Linked DNA regions of Alligator mississippiensis. The protein of the gene in region 1 interacts with the protein of each later gene in a pairwise test. Links are inferred from orthologs where the notes say so. Each region holds a gene or a part of one and is shown on either strand. Other genes may lie near its edges.

Evidence for each region.
Region 2: the proteins of ALDOA (region 1) and ENO3 interact in a two-hybrid assay, tested with the Homo sapiens proteins (2 studies listed by BioGRID and IntAct, with this or other methods). The link is inferred for Alligator mississippiensis from reciprocal best matches to the Homo sapiens genes ALDOA and ENO3.

What each region holds. Positions count from the first base shown.
Region 1 is NC_081830.1:233,998-241,464, reverse strand, and holds ALDOA (fructose-bisphosphate aldolase A), read left to right. Parts: upstream 1-4,226; 5' UTR 4,227-4,329; intron 4,330-4,705; 5' UTR 4,706-4,713; coding exon 4,714-4,825; intron 4,826-4,967; coding exon 4,968-5,179; intron 5,180-5,357; coding exon 5,358-5,412; intron 5,413-5,527; coding exon 5,528-5,688; intron 5,689-5,886; coding exon 5,887-5,970; intron 5,971-6,130; coding exon 6,131-6,305; intron 6,306-6,547; coding exon 6,548-6,747; intron 6,748-6,876; coding exon 6,877-6,972; 3' UTR 6,973-7,233; downstream 7,234-7,467. UniProt on the Homo sapiens protein: Catalyzes the reversible conversion of beta-D-fructose 1,6-bisphosphate (FBP) into two triose phosphate and plays a key role in glycolysis and gluconeogenesis. In addition, may also function as scaffolding protein.
Region 2 is NC_081838.1:23,776,212-23,783,799, reverse strand, and holds the start of ENO3 (beta-enolase), read left to right. Parts: upstream 1-4,533; 5' UTR 4,534-4,552; intron 4,553-6,183; exon of another isoform or gene 6,184-6,263; intron 6,264-6,986; 5' UTR 6,987-6,989; coding exon 6,990-7,074; intron 7,075-7,222; coding exon 7,223-7,318; intron 7,319-7,588. Other genes in the region: PFN1 (profilin-1), read right to left, coding at 176-365, 2,691-2,822. UniProt on the Homo sapiens protein: Glycolytic enzyme that catalyzes the conversion of 2-phosphoglycerate to phosphoenolpyruvate. Appears to have a function in striated muscle development and regeneration.

The DNA.
Region 1 (7,467 bases):
AAGGTTTGAAATATTGAGGTGTTCAGGGCTAGCACTCTTACAAACTTACTATTCTGGAGATGCTGCTGTGCTCCATGCTCAGCGTTGGGCTTATTGGGCTGAAACTGGAGCCCTGCTTGTCTGGGGGCGAGGAGAACTATGCAATTAACGACCGGCACTCGTCCAATTATCAGTCAGAAGCTTAATTGACTGAAAAAAACGATCCATTAAACACAAAGCAATTCATCCACTGGGGTTGCCAGAATACAGGTAGTCAACTTGACTGAGACTGCCAGGATATAAGCAGGCAGTTACCAAAGACTGAGCGTGTTAAGGTGACTCCACCGCATCACAGTCCGGCTACAGCTGGTACCCAGGCGGTGCTCCCAGTCGGCCGCGCCGGGCGAGCTTCACGGGTTGCCGTTGTTCCAAGTCCGATTGCTTGGTCTTCCCTTAGAAATCCACGCAGGAGAATCAGACCGCCGACAGTGAACGGTGATTTCACTTGCTTAGGCTATTTAACCCTTTAGTGATGTCAGCATCATCAATGCTAGCCCAGCTCATTATATGATATTTTGGAAGCTTCATAATAGCACAGACTTACCTGGAATATTTCCCTGTTCCCACACTAATTAGGCCCAATGGTCACTGTAACGGGCAAACTGAGTTATGCTCAGGCTCTTAGCATAACTTTAGGCCTTCCTGGAACTAAGCAATTAACTTGTACAGAGTGCCTTATATGGCACTGGGAAAAGTGAGTGCTGTGATTGGTGCAGTGGGTTAACCAGGTACAGTAGTTTCCCTAAAAGGAAAGGAAACCAAAAAACAGAATGGGATTGTTCCCCCCTCCTGCCCAGCCCAAGCCTGTGGGTGAAGCCGGCATCCTCGCCCCACCACCACAGCCAGAGGGGCAGGATCCACTGGAGGCTAGTCTGGGGGGAAAGGAGTCCAGGAGAGCTGGCTATACTTTAAAGAAACCTAACTGAGGGAGCAGGAACAAACCATCCCAATACAAAGGAAAACTAGCAAGTATAGCAGAAGACCTTATCTACAAAGATGAGGGAAGAAACTTGAGGACTGGACGGTTTGAAATGAGCAAGCTACAAAAGTAGTGGACAGAGACTTGTGTGTGTGTGTGTTGCCACCCTGGGGAGATGGGAGCAACCTTGGACTTCTTGCTTGGAGTAACAAGGAATCCAGACACTAACATCCCACACGCCCGCCAGAGGGTCTGAGGCCGATACCACCGAAGGTCGCTGTTGTACCATCTAAGGAACTGCTTCCCAGATCCTATTACAGGGAAGAATACTTGTCATGAGCCTGTGGGTTACTAACACAGTTCACTTGGTACCAAATCGGACGAGGGGCCATGTCGCTCCTTGGGGGTCTCTGGTGAAAGGAAGCCGGGGGCAACACTCGCCACGTTCTCATCCTGATTTAGGGTTCTGTTCTTCCAGATGTTCCCTGGCATTCGCTATACTGGGGTTAACAGTAGGCCACAATCATTGCCAATTCTTAACTGGATCATCTCGAAGAGACTTCTGGGAGTTTGGTCAACTTAACATGGCCAGATTAGATTTTCCTTGCAACAGGGGTGGGCGCAGCAGCAGCGGGCAGGGGCGGGGGCGCTGGTGCCGGATGGACCAGGAGCGTGGTGGGGGCAGCACATACACTACCCCTGGTGGCGGTAGGACCAGAACAACAGAGAAGGTCCCATCATGGGTTGCTCCACAACACCTTTCACTACCTGGCTCCGGCAGTCAGCTGTGGAGCGGGAGCAGGGGGATGGATGGGCAGAAGAAACACTGTTTGAAGGTGTTCCAGGTTCTGGAGACACCCCCTCAAGGGACCATTGGCCACGCGTAGAGGGTGCACGTGCGCCCCCTGAACCCTTGCTGTCGACACCACCGGCAGCGTCTGTGGGTGCTCGTGGATCACTGTTGGCCGCCACCAGCATCTGCAAGTGATCGCTGACTGCTGGTCACCACTCACCCCCACCCCTCCACTGCCATCACCACCGCGGCCACCTGTGGGAGCTCCCTGCCACCATGCCCCTGCCACCTGCAGGCAGTGGCCGTGCCCCTCCAGCCTCTGGGCATGCGTCATTGATGCCAGAGATCATGCAGTATAATACAAGAAAGAGTTGCTAATCGCCCTCGATCATATGTTAATTAACGGTCCACGCATGCCTGCTTGCCCCTCTGGCTGGGGTGGTGGGGGGAGGATGCCGGCTTCACCCACAGGCTTGCCAGGATCCTTGTACATTGGGCTGGGGGGGAGGGGGAACAAGCATTTGACCACCAATAACAGCCCACCCTGCAAGTCTTTCCAGTAATGCCATGACTCCATCTACGGCCCCACCCAACAAAGCAGCCCCAGGCATGCTCCTCAGGTCTGGCAACCCACCCCACACAGGCCTGATTAGCCATGCCAGTCTGCCTAGGACACGCATATACACGGACAAAAAAAATTGCAAGACTTTTATTAACAGAAAATGCAGTATATTTTATCAAAATTAAGAGACAAACTAAGAAAAAGTATTTAAATTAAAAAAGAGAATAATTAAAGTACGGAGAATTATATATAAATAATCATACTAAAGCTATCTATCTATAGCAATCTATAAAACTTTAGCTATACAAAATAGCTATAGAAAATCTAAAAAGTACCTGTACGCTGGTTCTTCTTTGTTCTCTCCTTCGTTGGTCGGAGGCTTGCTGCGCTGTTCTGAGGGGGGGAGGAAAGGAGACATGAAACCGGGCCCGGTGGATATGTTGCTCGGGGGCGTCCGCCTGGACTATCCTCTGGCAAGGTTGGAAAAGAGAAATGTTCAATGAAGTCATAGGGTAGGGGCAGCAAACTCAACGCTTTGCAGACTTGCCATTGTGGCGATGCCGAGGTGCTGGGACCCCGCGGGCACCCCGGGAGCGCACACATTACGGGCAGCGGGTAAAGGACTAGCAAGGGGCGCTGAACTACCCCCGCTGCACAGCGCTGGGGGGCTGCTCTTGCTCGGCCCCTTTCCTCCTCGCGTATATTTATATTAATAAGAGTATTACAGCTTGGAAGACCAGGTTCTCTGCGTGGATCTGACATCTTTCATTAGACCCACTTAAATAGTTGGAAAAACTTGTAAGCAAGCTTTCGGGTTTAACAACTCTTGGTCAGGCTGAGGAAGATCTGCACGTGTGCCGGCCTGAGGAAGGGCTTTTAAGCCCGGAAGCTGGCTTTAAAGTTCTTCCAGCTATTTAAGTGGGTCTAAGGAAAGACACGGGATTCACGCAGAGACCCTCGTCTGCCCGTCCTTAGCCAGCACGGCTACCACCTCCCCCGCGCGGCTTGGCCGCACTTGGAAGCCGGCGCCTGGCTCAACCGCGGCCGGGGGGTGACGGGGAGCAGCGCCGCCCGCCGCCGGAGAAGCAGTCGCCCGTCCCGGGAAGCGCCGCCTGTGCGACCGGCCGCCGGGTCCTCCACCAGCGCCCGGCTTGCCGTGCCGCGGGGGCCTGCGCGCCGCCCGCTCCCGGGCTGCCCCGGCCCGTGGGGAAGGCCGTGCTTCCCCGGCCGCCCCACGCAGCCCGCCCGCCCGCCCGCCGCGGGCTGTGCACGAGCCGCCCCCCTGAATGTCAGGGGCGTCGAGTTTCTCCCGGGGCTATTTTTAGCGGCAGCTGTGAAAGGGCAGGGGTCGCCGAGAAGGTCAGAGCCCCCCCGGGCGGCCCCGCCCCCTCCGCCCGGCCTCATATAAGGGGGTCGCCCGCAGCCCCCGCACCGGCCGCCCGGCACTGCCACCAGACCCTGCCCCGCCCGCCCGCCCGCCAGGTGAGGGGCGGCCCACGGCGGGGCTCGGGCTCGTGCTCGGGCACGGGGGGGCGGGCAGGAGGGCCCTGTCTGCAGGGCGCTGGGGCGGTGTCCAGGGGGGTTGGGGCGGACGTGGGGCAGCGCCGGGGCGGCCTGGGGCCGCGGGGCAGGCGCCATAGCGGGGCTGTAGGTGGGGGCGTTGCGGGGCGGCGGGGGCACGGGGCCGGGGCGGCGGGGGCAGGCCGCGAGCGCGGGCCCCGCGGCGCCCTTGGCGGGGATCGGGTTTCCCCCGCAAAGGTCAGCGCGAAACCCACGCGCGGCGGGCCGGGGGGTGCAGTGACGCAACCCCAGAGCCTCCCAGGCCCCGCCCCCGGGACGTCACTGCGCGGGCGGGGCACGGCGTGGGGGAGCCCCAGGGCAGCCCCGGGGGCAGCAGGGGCGTGGCCCCCCGGCCGCGCCCGCGCGTGACGTCGGCGCGGCGCCCCGCCCCCAGCCCCTAGCCCGCCGCAGCCCCACGCGGCAGCGCAGTCGATCCCGCCGCCGCCGCTGCCGCAGGTTGGCTTGGGGGGGGCGTCGGGCCGGGGGGGCTTCGGGCCGGGGGGGGGGCGTCGGGGTGGGGGGAAGCGCCGGGGGGGCGCTGCTGGGCCGGGCGCCTGGCTCCCTGCCCCCCCCGCCCTTGGAGCGACCTTGACTCCCGGCACCGCCGCGCGGAGCTCGGGCACGCGGGCCCGGGGGCTGCCATCGCCCCCCCTCCCGCCCCGGCCCCCTCGGTCCCGCCCGCGCCCCGGGCACACGACCCCCCCGGACACTTGCCCCCACCCGCGGCCACGACCCCCCCCCGACGCCCGGGTCCCGCCCAGGGGGGGCCGGAAGCGGCCATGCGGAAGGCCGCGCGCCGCACGTCCCGCGCGTAACCCCTGCGCTCCCGCAGCCGCCAAGATGCCGCACCCGCACCCGGCCCTGACGCCCGAGCAGAAGAAGGAGCTGGCGGACATCGCCCACCGCATCGTGGCGCCCGGCAAGGGCATCCTGGCCGCCGATGAGTCCACCGGTGCGGGGCGGGAGTGCAGGGCACGGGGGGGGGGCTGCGGGGCGGGAGTGTGGGGCACGGGGGGGGGGGGCTGCGGGGCGGGAGTGGGAGGCACGGGGCACTGCAGGGCCCCCTGTGTTAACCCCCACCCGCCCCCCTGCAGGCAGCATCGCCAAGCGCCTGAGCTCCATCGGGGCAGAGAACACCGAGGAGAACCGGCGCTGGTACCGGCAGCTGCTCTTCACGGCCGACGCGCGCGTGGATCCCTGCATTGGCGGCGTCATCCTCTTCCACGAGACCCTCTACCAGAAGGCCGACGATGGGCGCACCTTCCCCCAGGTCATCAAGGCCAAGGGCGGCGTTGTTGGTATCAAGGTAGGCCCCCGGGGGGGTGGGCAAGGTGGTCATGGGGACTATTGGGGGGGGGGGAGGGGGCCGGGGTTGGAGGTCTCAGGAGGCTTTTACCTTGAACCTGGTAGTTGGGGTGCAGGAGTGAGGAGTGGAGGCCAGGGGTCGGGGCAGTACTGATGAGGTTCCCTCTCCCCCACCGCAGGTGGACAAGGGCGTGGTGGCCCTGGCCGGGACCGATGGGGAGACCACCACCCAAGGTGAGTGCCTGGACACCAGGGTCTCGGGGCTGGGAGTGGTTGCATCTGGCAGGACAGGCATGTCTGCGGGGTTTTCCCCAAATGCCTGGGTCCTGAGCCTCATCCCCCTCCCCAGGCCTGGACGGGCTTTCTGAGCGCTGTGCCCAGTACAAGAAGGATGGGGCCGACTTCGCCAAGTGGCGCTGCGTGCTCAAGATCGGGCCCCACACGCCCTCACGCCTCGCCATCCTGGAGAATGCCAATGTGCTGGCCCGCTACGCCAGCATCTGCCAGCAGGTGGCCGTGGGGCAGGGCTGGGGGCAGGGCTACTTCCTCTCCCAGGAGCTAGCAGGGGGTGGGGCTAAGACTGAGGGCAGAGCCAGAAGGGCACAGGCAGCATCTGCCAGCAGGTGGGGCTAGAGGGGCTGTAGGTGGGGCTGGGGGTTGGGGTCAGGGCTAACAGGCTCATCCCGACCTCCCCCCATGTCCTTCTAGAACGGCATTGTGCCCATCGTGGAGCCCGAGATCCTCCCCGATGGCGACCATGACCTGAAGCGCTGCCAGCACGTCACCGAGAAGGTGAGAGGGGTCACTGCAGTGAGGGGGCACTTACCAGAGGCTGGGAGGTGGGAGATCTTTGGGGGGTGTGGCCAGAAGGAGCCCCGCCTCTTGGAGGAGCTGGAGGGAAGATGCAGCAGTGGATGTGGGTGGTGTGCTGACCAGTCCTGCCCCCCCCCAGGTGCTGGCGGCTGTGTACAAGGCGCTGAGTGACCACCATGTCTACCTGGAGGGGTCACTGCTGAAGCCCAACATGGTGACACCTGGGCACGCCTGCACCACCAAGTACAGCCATGAGGAGATCGCCATGGCTACCATCACCGCGCTGCGCCGCACCGTGCCACCTGCTGTGCCCGGTGAGACCTGGGCCTGCCCCTGGCTTCACCCCCTGTGGCCCTGCTCCCTATCTCACCCCTGACAGCCATGCTCTGGGCATGCAAGCCAGGGTAGGGGAGGCTCCACCATCTCCTTGACTCCACCCCCTTGCCCATTAACCCCCTGGGTGCTGTGCCTATGCCCAGGGTCCCCTGCTCCAGCCCAGCCTGTTAACCCCGCGAGCACTGTGTCACGCCGGCACTGACTCCCTCCCCCTTCACAGGTATCACCTTCCTGTCCGGGGGGCAGAGCGAGGAGGAGGCGTCTCTGAACCTCAATGCCATCAACAAGTGCCCCCTGCACAAGCCCTGGGCCCTGACCTTCTCCTACGGGCGGGCGCTGCAGGCTTCAGCCCTCAAGGCCTGGGGCGGCAAGAAGGAGAACACCAAGGCGGCCCAGGAGGAGTACGTCAAGCGCGCTCTGGTGCGTACTGACCTGGCCCGCGGCGGGGGGAGAGTGACCTCTGACTTGCAGAGGGGGTGGGGGAGGGGAGCCTGGACGCTGGGTTTTTTGTGCTGCTCTGACCTGTCTTGTCTGTCCGTCTCTCTGCAGGCCAACAGCCTCGCCTGCCAGGGCAAGTACGCCGGCAGCGGCCAGGCCGGTGCTGCCTCCAAGGAGTCTCTCTTCGTTTCCAACCATGCCTACTAGGCTGCGGCTCCACCCTGCCTGCCCCCCGCCCCTCCCCCATCCCCTTCCCAACTTGGGCTGCAACTATATTCACCTGGACCCGACTGGGGCAGAGACCAGCGGGCACAAGAACCCCGGCCTCCGGGCGGCCCCTCCCCCCCTCCCCCTCCCCCTGGTGAGCAACACTTCCGGCTCCCGCCCCCCCTCCAGCTGCCCGGTCTCCGGGTGGGGGCGGGCGAGGCCCTAACTACACTGAGTTACTGAATAAAATGAATTCATGAAGATATGTGTCCTGTGCTCCTGGGCCTCGGGGGTGCGGGTTTCGGGGGTCTAGGCCGTGGGCCCCTCTGGCCCCCAGGAGGGGAAAGGAGCCAGGGTGGGGGGGGGGCAGGGTTCTGGCCTGTGTCCCCCACACGTGACCGCAGCAGAGGGAATGCATGTCCCTGCCCGAGTAGCCTGTCCTGGCACAGGCCCCTGCTTGCTGACGTCACATGCTCGGCCTAGGGCACAGGAATC
Region 2 (7,588 bases), on another chromosome or scaffold:
CAGACCTCTGGCTCTGCTGGTGCCCCTCCCAACCTACAGCCCGCCCCCAAGCCTGGTGCCCCTCACCCCCTGCCCCCCAGGCCCTGCTTGTGCCCTTCACTCCTGACCCCCGGCCCATACCTCCACCAGTCCCACCCCGCTGCCCCTCAACTCCCACCCCGCAGTCCAGGCTCACTCTTGTGGGTGGTGGCAACAGTGACGTTGAAGGTGGGGCCGCCGGGGCTCTTGGTGCGCAGGTCCATGGTGAATTCACCATCCACCAAGAGACTGTCGCGGATCACGGAGCACTTCTGCCCCCCCAGCGTTAGCCCGTTCACCAGCAGTGACGCCCGGTCTGGTCCCACCAGCACATTCACCTCAGCCGGCTGCGGGAGGGGGAAGCGGGGTCAGCCATGGGCCCTGGGTGCCCGGATCCCCCCGCTGCTCTCACGCACCAAGAACTCAAGTGCCCGGGCTCCTCCCCGCCCCCCCCCCCCCCCCATGGAGAGCCAGGCATGCGGGCCCCACCCAGAGGCAAGGGTGGAAGCCAGGCATCCCAGCCAGGGAAAGAACCCAGGCCCCACCCAGTGCCAACGGCAGACCTAGGTGTCCAGGTACCCAGTGCTGGGGAGGGAACCCAGGCCTCCGGGCTGCCCCTCCCCCCCAGCTGCTGAGGTCATGGGGGGGGAAGGAGGAAAGAGAGCAGGACTACAACAGCTGGAGCTGAACAGCTGGGCCCAAACAAGTCCCCTATTCTCTGCCCCCATTCCCCTAACACCTGGGGGGGGGGGCAGCAGGAGAGGCTGCATTTGGGGCATATTTCAGCATTAAGAGAAAGTGAAAGAACCCAGGCATCTGGGCTCCACCGGGGTTGGGGGTGGGAGTGGGAGGCAGGAACAAGAACCCAGGCATCCCGGCTCCCAGCAAACTCCCAGCTCTGGGGAAAGAACTCAGGCATCCAGCCTGGGGGGGGCTCAAGCCCACATAAAGGGGGAGAGCTGGGGGCTCCCCAAACCTCCACCTGGGGGGAAAGGGGGGAGGGAGGGGCCTGGCCACACCCAGCTGCAGATTGGGCCCGAAACCCCCAAAAAAGGTCAAAGCTGGGCAGGTGGGCGGGACCCAGGGGATGTGGGGGGGGCTGGGATGCCTGGGTTCTTTCCACCGTGCCCCCCCCTCCCAGGAACCCAGGTGTCCTGAAAGTTGCAGGGGGGGGAGGGGCAGCCAGGCCTAGTAGGGTCATAACCCCCCATCCAAGGAACCCAGGTGTTTGGGAGGGCCAGTCTGGCACCAGGCAGCCCCCCCACCCCTGCCAAGAGACCCAGGTGGGGAGCAGGGAGGGCAGGAATCGGGGAGCAGGAAGTTCCTTAAGGGCCTGGAGGCGGAAGGGAGGATAATTTTTCCTGTTAGTCTGTGGCACCCAGCCCCCCCATACCTCCAGGCCCCCCCCCTCTGCCCCATATACCCCAAACACTCCGCTCTGTGCCCCCAGTATCCTCCATTACTCCTATATGTCCCCAACTACCCTGGTTACCTCAAACACCGCTTCTTGCCCCAGTACACTCCGAAGTACCCCTCCTTTACCCCCAAACACCCCAACTGTCCCTTTAGTCCAATACTCCCAAACACCCCCCTCCTTACCCCAAGTACCCCCCATTCCCCCTAATGCCCTAAGTGACCTCCCTTTATACCCAAATACCCCTTTTGCCCCACATCCCCCCAAATACACCTTTGACCCCCACATCCCCAAACACCTTCCTTTGCCCCTAGTTCCTGCCCTTTCTGTCCCCATTGCCCCCCCAGTGCCCCCATGTTACCCCAGCAGGGTGGGGGGGGGGGGGTTTGGGACACCCCCTCCCCAGACCCTCATGTCACTTCCTGGGGGGAATAGGGGGAGGAGTTTGCAGAGAAACCAGGAAGTGGGGGGGGGGGGTGGCTGCAAGAGGAAGTGGCTTTGGCTTCCTCGGGGGACCGGAAATGGTCCCTGGGGGGCTGCCCCTCCCCCACTTGGGGCCACTTCCGGTCCAGGAACAACCCCTTCCAGGGGCAGATGGGGGGCTGCCTCCCCACCAGAAATAATGCCCAGAAAACTGCCCCCCCCAGGTGAGGGGCTGCCCTGCCCCCACGCACGTGTCTGGGGACCCTGCAGCTTTGCAAGGCGACCGGCCCCCTCCCTTGCTCAGGCATACATACTGCCCGCCAGCCCCCTCGCATGAGCCTGTGGGCCCCAGTTTTTGCTACACAGCCCCTCTTCCCCTTCCCTCCTCACCGCTCGGGCTCCCACCCGCTCTGGCATACGTTTTGTCCCCCGCCTAGCAGCCCCCCACGCACGTGCCTGTAAACCCCCCCCCCCGAATTTGCAATTCAGCTCTCCCCTTCCTCCTCCCTCCTGGTGGCCCCCTGACTGCCCCCCTTTGTACCCCCCCCGCAGCATGCATCCCACACCCCATGCACGTGCCTCCGGACCCTCTCGTTTTTGCAATCCCCCCGCCCCCATTTCCTCCTGGCCACCCCCCGCGACGCGCCGCGCTTTTAGCTGCATCCTCCCCCCGCCATGCACGTGCCTGCAGCCCCCCCGGTTTGCAATTCACCCCCTCCTTGCCCTTCCCTCCTGGCAGCCGCCAGCCCCCCCTTCTACCCACACCCCGCTCCAGCCTGTATCCTGCCCCTCCCCCAGCAAAGCCCCCCGTCCACGTGCCCCTACCCCTCCGTACCGTGATGTTGATGAAGGTCTTGCCGGGGGAGGCGGCCCAGACCGACGGGGCGTCCTTGTAGCCCACGATGGCCGCGTCCTGGCACGTCCCGTCCGCCATGAGGCTGTCGATGTAGGAGCTCCACCCGCTCATGGCTGCAGCCGGGGGGGCGCGGGCCGGGGGGCTGCGGGCGGCGACGGCACGAGGACCCGGCGGGGCGGGCGGGAGCAGAGTGCGGGCCGGGCCCCCGCGGCGGCGGCTACATAGGGCCCCCCCCCCGGGGCGGGGCTGGATCCCTCCGCGCCCCCCCCCGCATGCTATCGGGACTTCTTTGCAAAGGGAGGGGGAGCGAAGGGCCCCCCCGTGCAGAGAGAGGGCCCCACCCGTGCAAAGCAAAGTGCCCCCCATGCAAATAGCACGGGGAGCAAAGTGCCCCCCCGTGCAAAGGGAGAGGGAGTAAAGGCCCCCCCGTGTAAAGGGATGGAGAGCAAAGTGCCTCCCTGTGCAAGGCAAAGTGCCTCCCCCCCCCGTGCAAAGAGGGGTGCAAAGACTGGGGTATTGCCACCCTGTAGGGGCGTTGCACTAGCCCCCCTGGGTGATACGTGTGTCCATGGGCATATGTCGCAATGGGTGTGTTGCATGTGCCCAGGGGCATAATACACATGCCTATGGTATTGTTACGGGTACCCATGTGCCAGTGGGTGTTACATGATACGTGTGCCCAAAGGGGTGTTACACATGCTCACATGCAAGTGTGTAAAGACTTACCTGCTGCGTGTTCCTCGGGGGGGGGGGGCTTTGATGATGGGCATGTCACAGGAGGGGGTGATGGGAGCAGTTGTGGCATGCATGAGCACACGCCAGCCCAGCCAGGGGATGCACACACGCGTGTGCACGGCTGTATGCCAGCTGCTGTGACGGGAAGTCGAACACGTGTGTGCACGAGATGTACACGGGAGCTGTGTGTGATGCCCGCAGGGCTGCAAGAAGATCACACGCTCACCTGCACGTGTGGGCCAGCCCCACGTGGGTGGAGACACACATGCCTGGATGCACACACGTGCAACATGCTTGCCTCCTGGTGCTGTGTGCAACACACGTGTGCCCCCCTCCGTTGTGCACCATGCAGCCCCCAGAACACACACCCAACATGGGGGGCAGATGCGCACACACATGTGCAACTGCACTTCCATGTCCAATCTCACCCAGAGGGCACAGATGTGTACACAGGTGTGCAATGGCACACACAAGAGCAATCCTACATGGGGCAGACATGTGCACACGCGTGTGCAACTGCACACACACACATGCAATCCCACATGGAGGAGGGGCTGGCCCCTCTCTGCCTGGGACAGGGGGGCGGGGCTCCGGCGGGCCCGGCGCGCTCCCATTGGCTGGCCCCGCCCTGACACGTCACTGCCGGGAGGGGACTACTTTTGCCGGCGGAGGAACACCGATAAAAAAACTTTCTACCGCTACAAAAACTTTTCCAGGGCGGGAGGGGAAGACGTCATTTCCTGTCTGGACCCCCCCCCCCGCAGCCAATTCTGGGGTGGGGCCGGACGGGGTGGACTCCCCCCTCCCCCCATCCGGGTCCTCCCCCCCACGAGAGAACCCAGGGTCCGGCGGCCCCGGCGGGGGGGCGGGCAGGAAGTGTGTGATACAACCGGTGTCTGTAGCAACCTCGGGGGGAGGGGGAGGGGGAGGGGGAGGGGGCCCCGGGGCATTGTGGGTAGCAAGGGATGGGGGGAATTGGCGGGAGCCCCGGGGCATTGTGGGTAGCGGTGCCGGGGCACAGGGGGTTGTGGGTAACAAGGATTGGGGGGCTTGCTAGGAGCCCCAGGGCACTCTGGGTAGGGGAGACAGGCCCCAGGGTGTTGTGGGTAGGTAGTGCCAGGCCCCAGGTCCTTGTGGGTGTGGGGGGACCGCAGCACAGAGCAGTGTGGGAAGGATTTGGGGCGGCTTGGTGGGAGCCCTAGGACATTCTGGGTAGCAAATGCCAGGACCCAGGATAGGGGGCTTCCCAAGGATGGGGGCTTGGCGGGAGCCCCAGGGCATTGTGGGAAGCCGACAGGCCCGTTGGGGGCGGAGCCATGACTCACGCGTGTGGCGGCGCCGGGCGGCTCCAGACACCGTGACACGCGCGTGCCCCAGGGCGGCGCCCTCCCCCCCCCCGCCTGGACGCGTGGGTTCCCCGCCTGCTCTGGGGCACGCCTGGTTCTCTCCAGCTCCGGGCAAGCCTGGGTGCCGGGACACCTGGGTTCACAGCCCAAAACAGGCCACGGAGCCTCTACTGTGCCCCGCCCTCGGGCTCTCCCTCGCCTCCCTGGGTCCCCAGGGGAGACCCAGGACTGACCCCCGGATCGTGCCCTGGGCCCCTGCTCCCTTGGGACAGCAGGGAGTGATCCCGCCTGCAGCCACCAGGGGGCCCGTGACCAACCCCCCCCCCACCAACCCGGGCCTGGCTCCCTGCCCCTCCTGCTCTCACCCCCCAGAGAAGCAAGGTGTCCGAGCTCTGAGCCCCCCTTTCCCCTGGAAGTGAAGCCAGGTGTCTGGGCTACCCCAGGGCCCTTCCCTACAGAGAACCCCGGTGCCCCAGCTCCCACCCCCTGCTCTCACCTTTCCCCGCCACATACTCCCAGAGAACCCGCGTCTCTGGGACCCCGACCACCCGGGTGTCCGAGCTCCCGCCCCGTGCTCTTACCATTACCTCCCCCCACAACGAACCCAGATGCCTGAGCCCCAAAGCCCCCCCCACCCCGCATGAGAACCCAAGTGTCCTGACCTCTCCATGGGGGCTGCCTTGAGTTCTCCCTGGGAGCACCCCCCCCATATCCCATCAGCCCCCACTCTGGGGGTCAGGTTTCCACTGCCCTTTCCCGGGAATGGGCCCGACCTTTACTGTCCCGGGTGGGTCTAAAGATAGACCGGGGGGGGGGGGGCACAGGGAACCCAGGCGTCCAGAGAGCACACACCCAGAGGACCTGGGTGTCTGGGAGGATGTGGGGGGGCACAAAGACCCCAAGACTTTGGGGCTGGAGGGGGGCACAGAGAACCCAGGTGTCAGGGGCCTGGACCTGGGGTCACATAGGGAGCCAGGTTGGGGGGCCACAGAGAACTCAGGCATCCAGGACCTGCATACATCCAAACCCCAGGTGTCTGGGCCCCCCAGAGAACCCAGGTGTCCAAGACCCACATAAGATCCCAGGCGTCTGGATGGGGCGGGAAACCCAGAGAACCCAGGTGCCCAGGACCAACCTGCAGACATAGAGCCCAGGTGCCCGAGACCTCGCTGGGGGGGCGCAGAACCCAGGTGCCCAGGGAGGGTTGGCAGGTGGGGAAGGTGCAGAGAATCCAGCAGTCTGGATGCTTGGGTTCTTCCCCTGCTGTGGGGGGGCCGCAGCCTTGAAGCTGGATGCCTGGGTTCACCCCCCCATCCCCCTTGCCAGGTGGGGAGGGGCCAAGTTCCAGAGTGGGTGCCAAGGCCCGTCTCAGTGTCATGGCACCGGGGGGGGCGGGGAGATGTGTGGGGCCATATAAAGGACATGACAGCCCTGGCCCCAGCACCCGTCAGCCCGACCCGGAGACACCCCAGTGAGTGGGGCTGTAGTTTGGGAATGAGGGACACAGGCAGGGCTGGGGGAGCAGAGACTGCGGCTTGGGAGTGAGGGGCACTGGAAAGGCTAGGGGGGCAGAGGCTACTGGTCCAGAGTGAGGGGCACTGGCAGGGCTGGGGGGGGGCAGGGGCTGCAGGTCAGAAGTGAGGGGCACTGGCTGGACTGGGGGGCAGGGGGTGCAGGTTGGGAGTGACGGGCACTGGGGGGCCAAGGGCTGGGAGCTGGGAGTGAGGGGCACTGGTGGGGCAGGAGGGACAGGGTTGGGAGTGAAGTGTGCCAGGGGTCTCTGTGGGTTCCTGCCCCCCCACCTTCCATGAAGCTTTGACCTTTGCCTCCCACCCAGTGCTATTTTTATCCCTGGCAGTGGCTCCCAGGCTGGAGGGGGGGGGGGGCACAGGGCCCATCCCCTTCCTTGGGTCCTACAGCCTGGACACCTGCATTCCCCAGGATGGGCCTTGGCTGAGGGGGGGGCAGGTGGCACAGGGCCCAGCCCCTTCCTTGGATACTACAGCCCGGACACCTGCATTCCCCAGGATGGGCCTTGGTAGGCCCAGCTGGGTGCCCAGACACCTGGGTTCTCTGGGAGGGGAGGGGGCTGGGACCTGGGGGGGCTTGGAGCAGGGGGGCTTGGAGCCAGGACACCTGGGTTCCCTCCAGCCACCCTCCTGTTCTCCCGCTCCCCCTCCCCCCCACTCCACAGGCCATGTCCATCCAGAAGATCCATGCCCGTGAGATCCTGGACTCCCGTGGGAACCCCACGGTGGAAGTCGACCTGCACACAGCCAAGGGTGAGTGGGGGCCTGGGGCTTGCGGGTCAGAAGTGAGAGGCACTGGGGGGCAATGGGTCAGAAGTGAAGGGCATCAGCAGAGCTGAGGGGCAGGGGCTGCAGGTTGGGAGTGAGGGGCACCGGGCACCCACATGCCCTTTGCCCCCAGGGCGGTTCCGGGCCGCGGTGCCCAGTGGCGCCTCCACGGGCATCTATGAGGCGCTGGAGCTGCGCGACGGGGACAAGAGCCGGTACCTGGGCAAAGGTGAGCTGGGCAGGGTGGGGTGGGGCCACAGGGGTCATGACTCCCCACAGACCCCCAGGTTGTGTCTTCTGTGGGCAGGTGGGTCAGGTACCCCATGTTAGTGGGACCCAAGGGCATGCTCTGGGCCACCCTGATTGGCTGAGAGAAGTGACTCACCCATTGGTGGACCAGCAGAAGGGGTGGGGCTATGCAACTCACTGGCTGGTAATGAGGGTTGAGTGGCATTATTGACTTCCCTTGGGCAGTCGCTGGGGCCAGATGTTGGCTCAT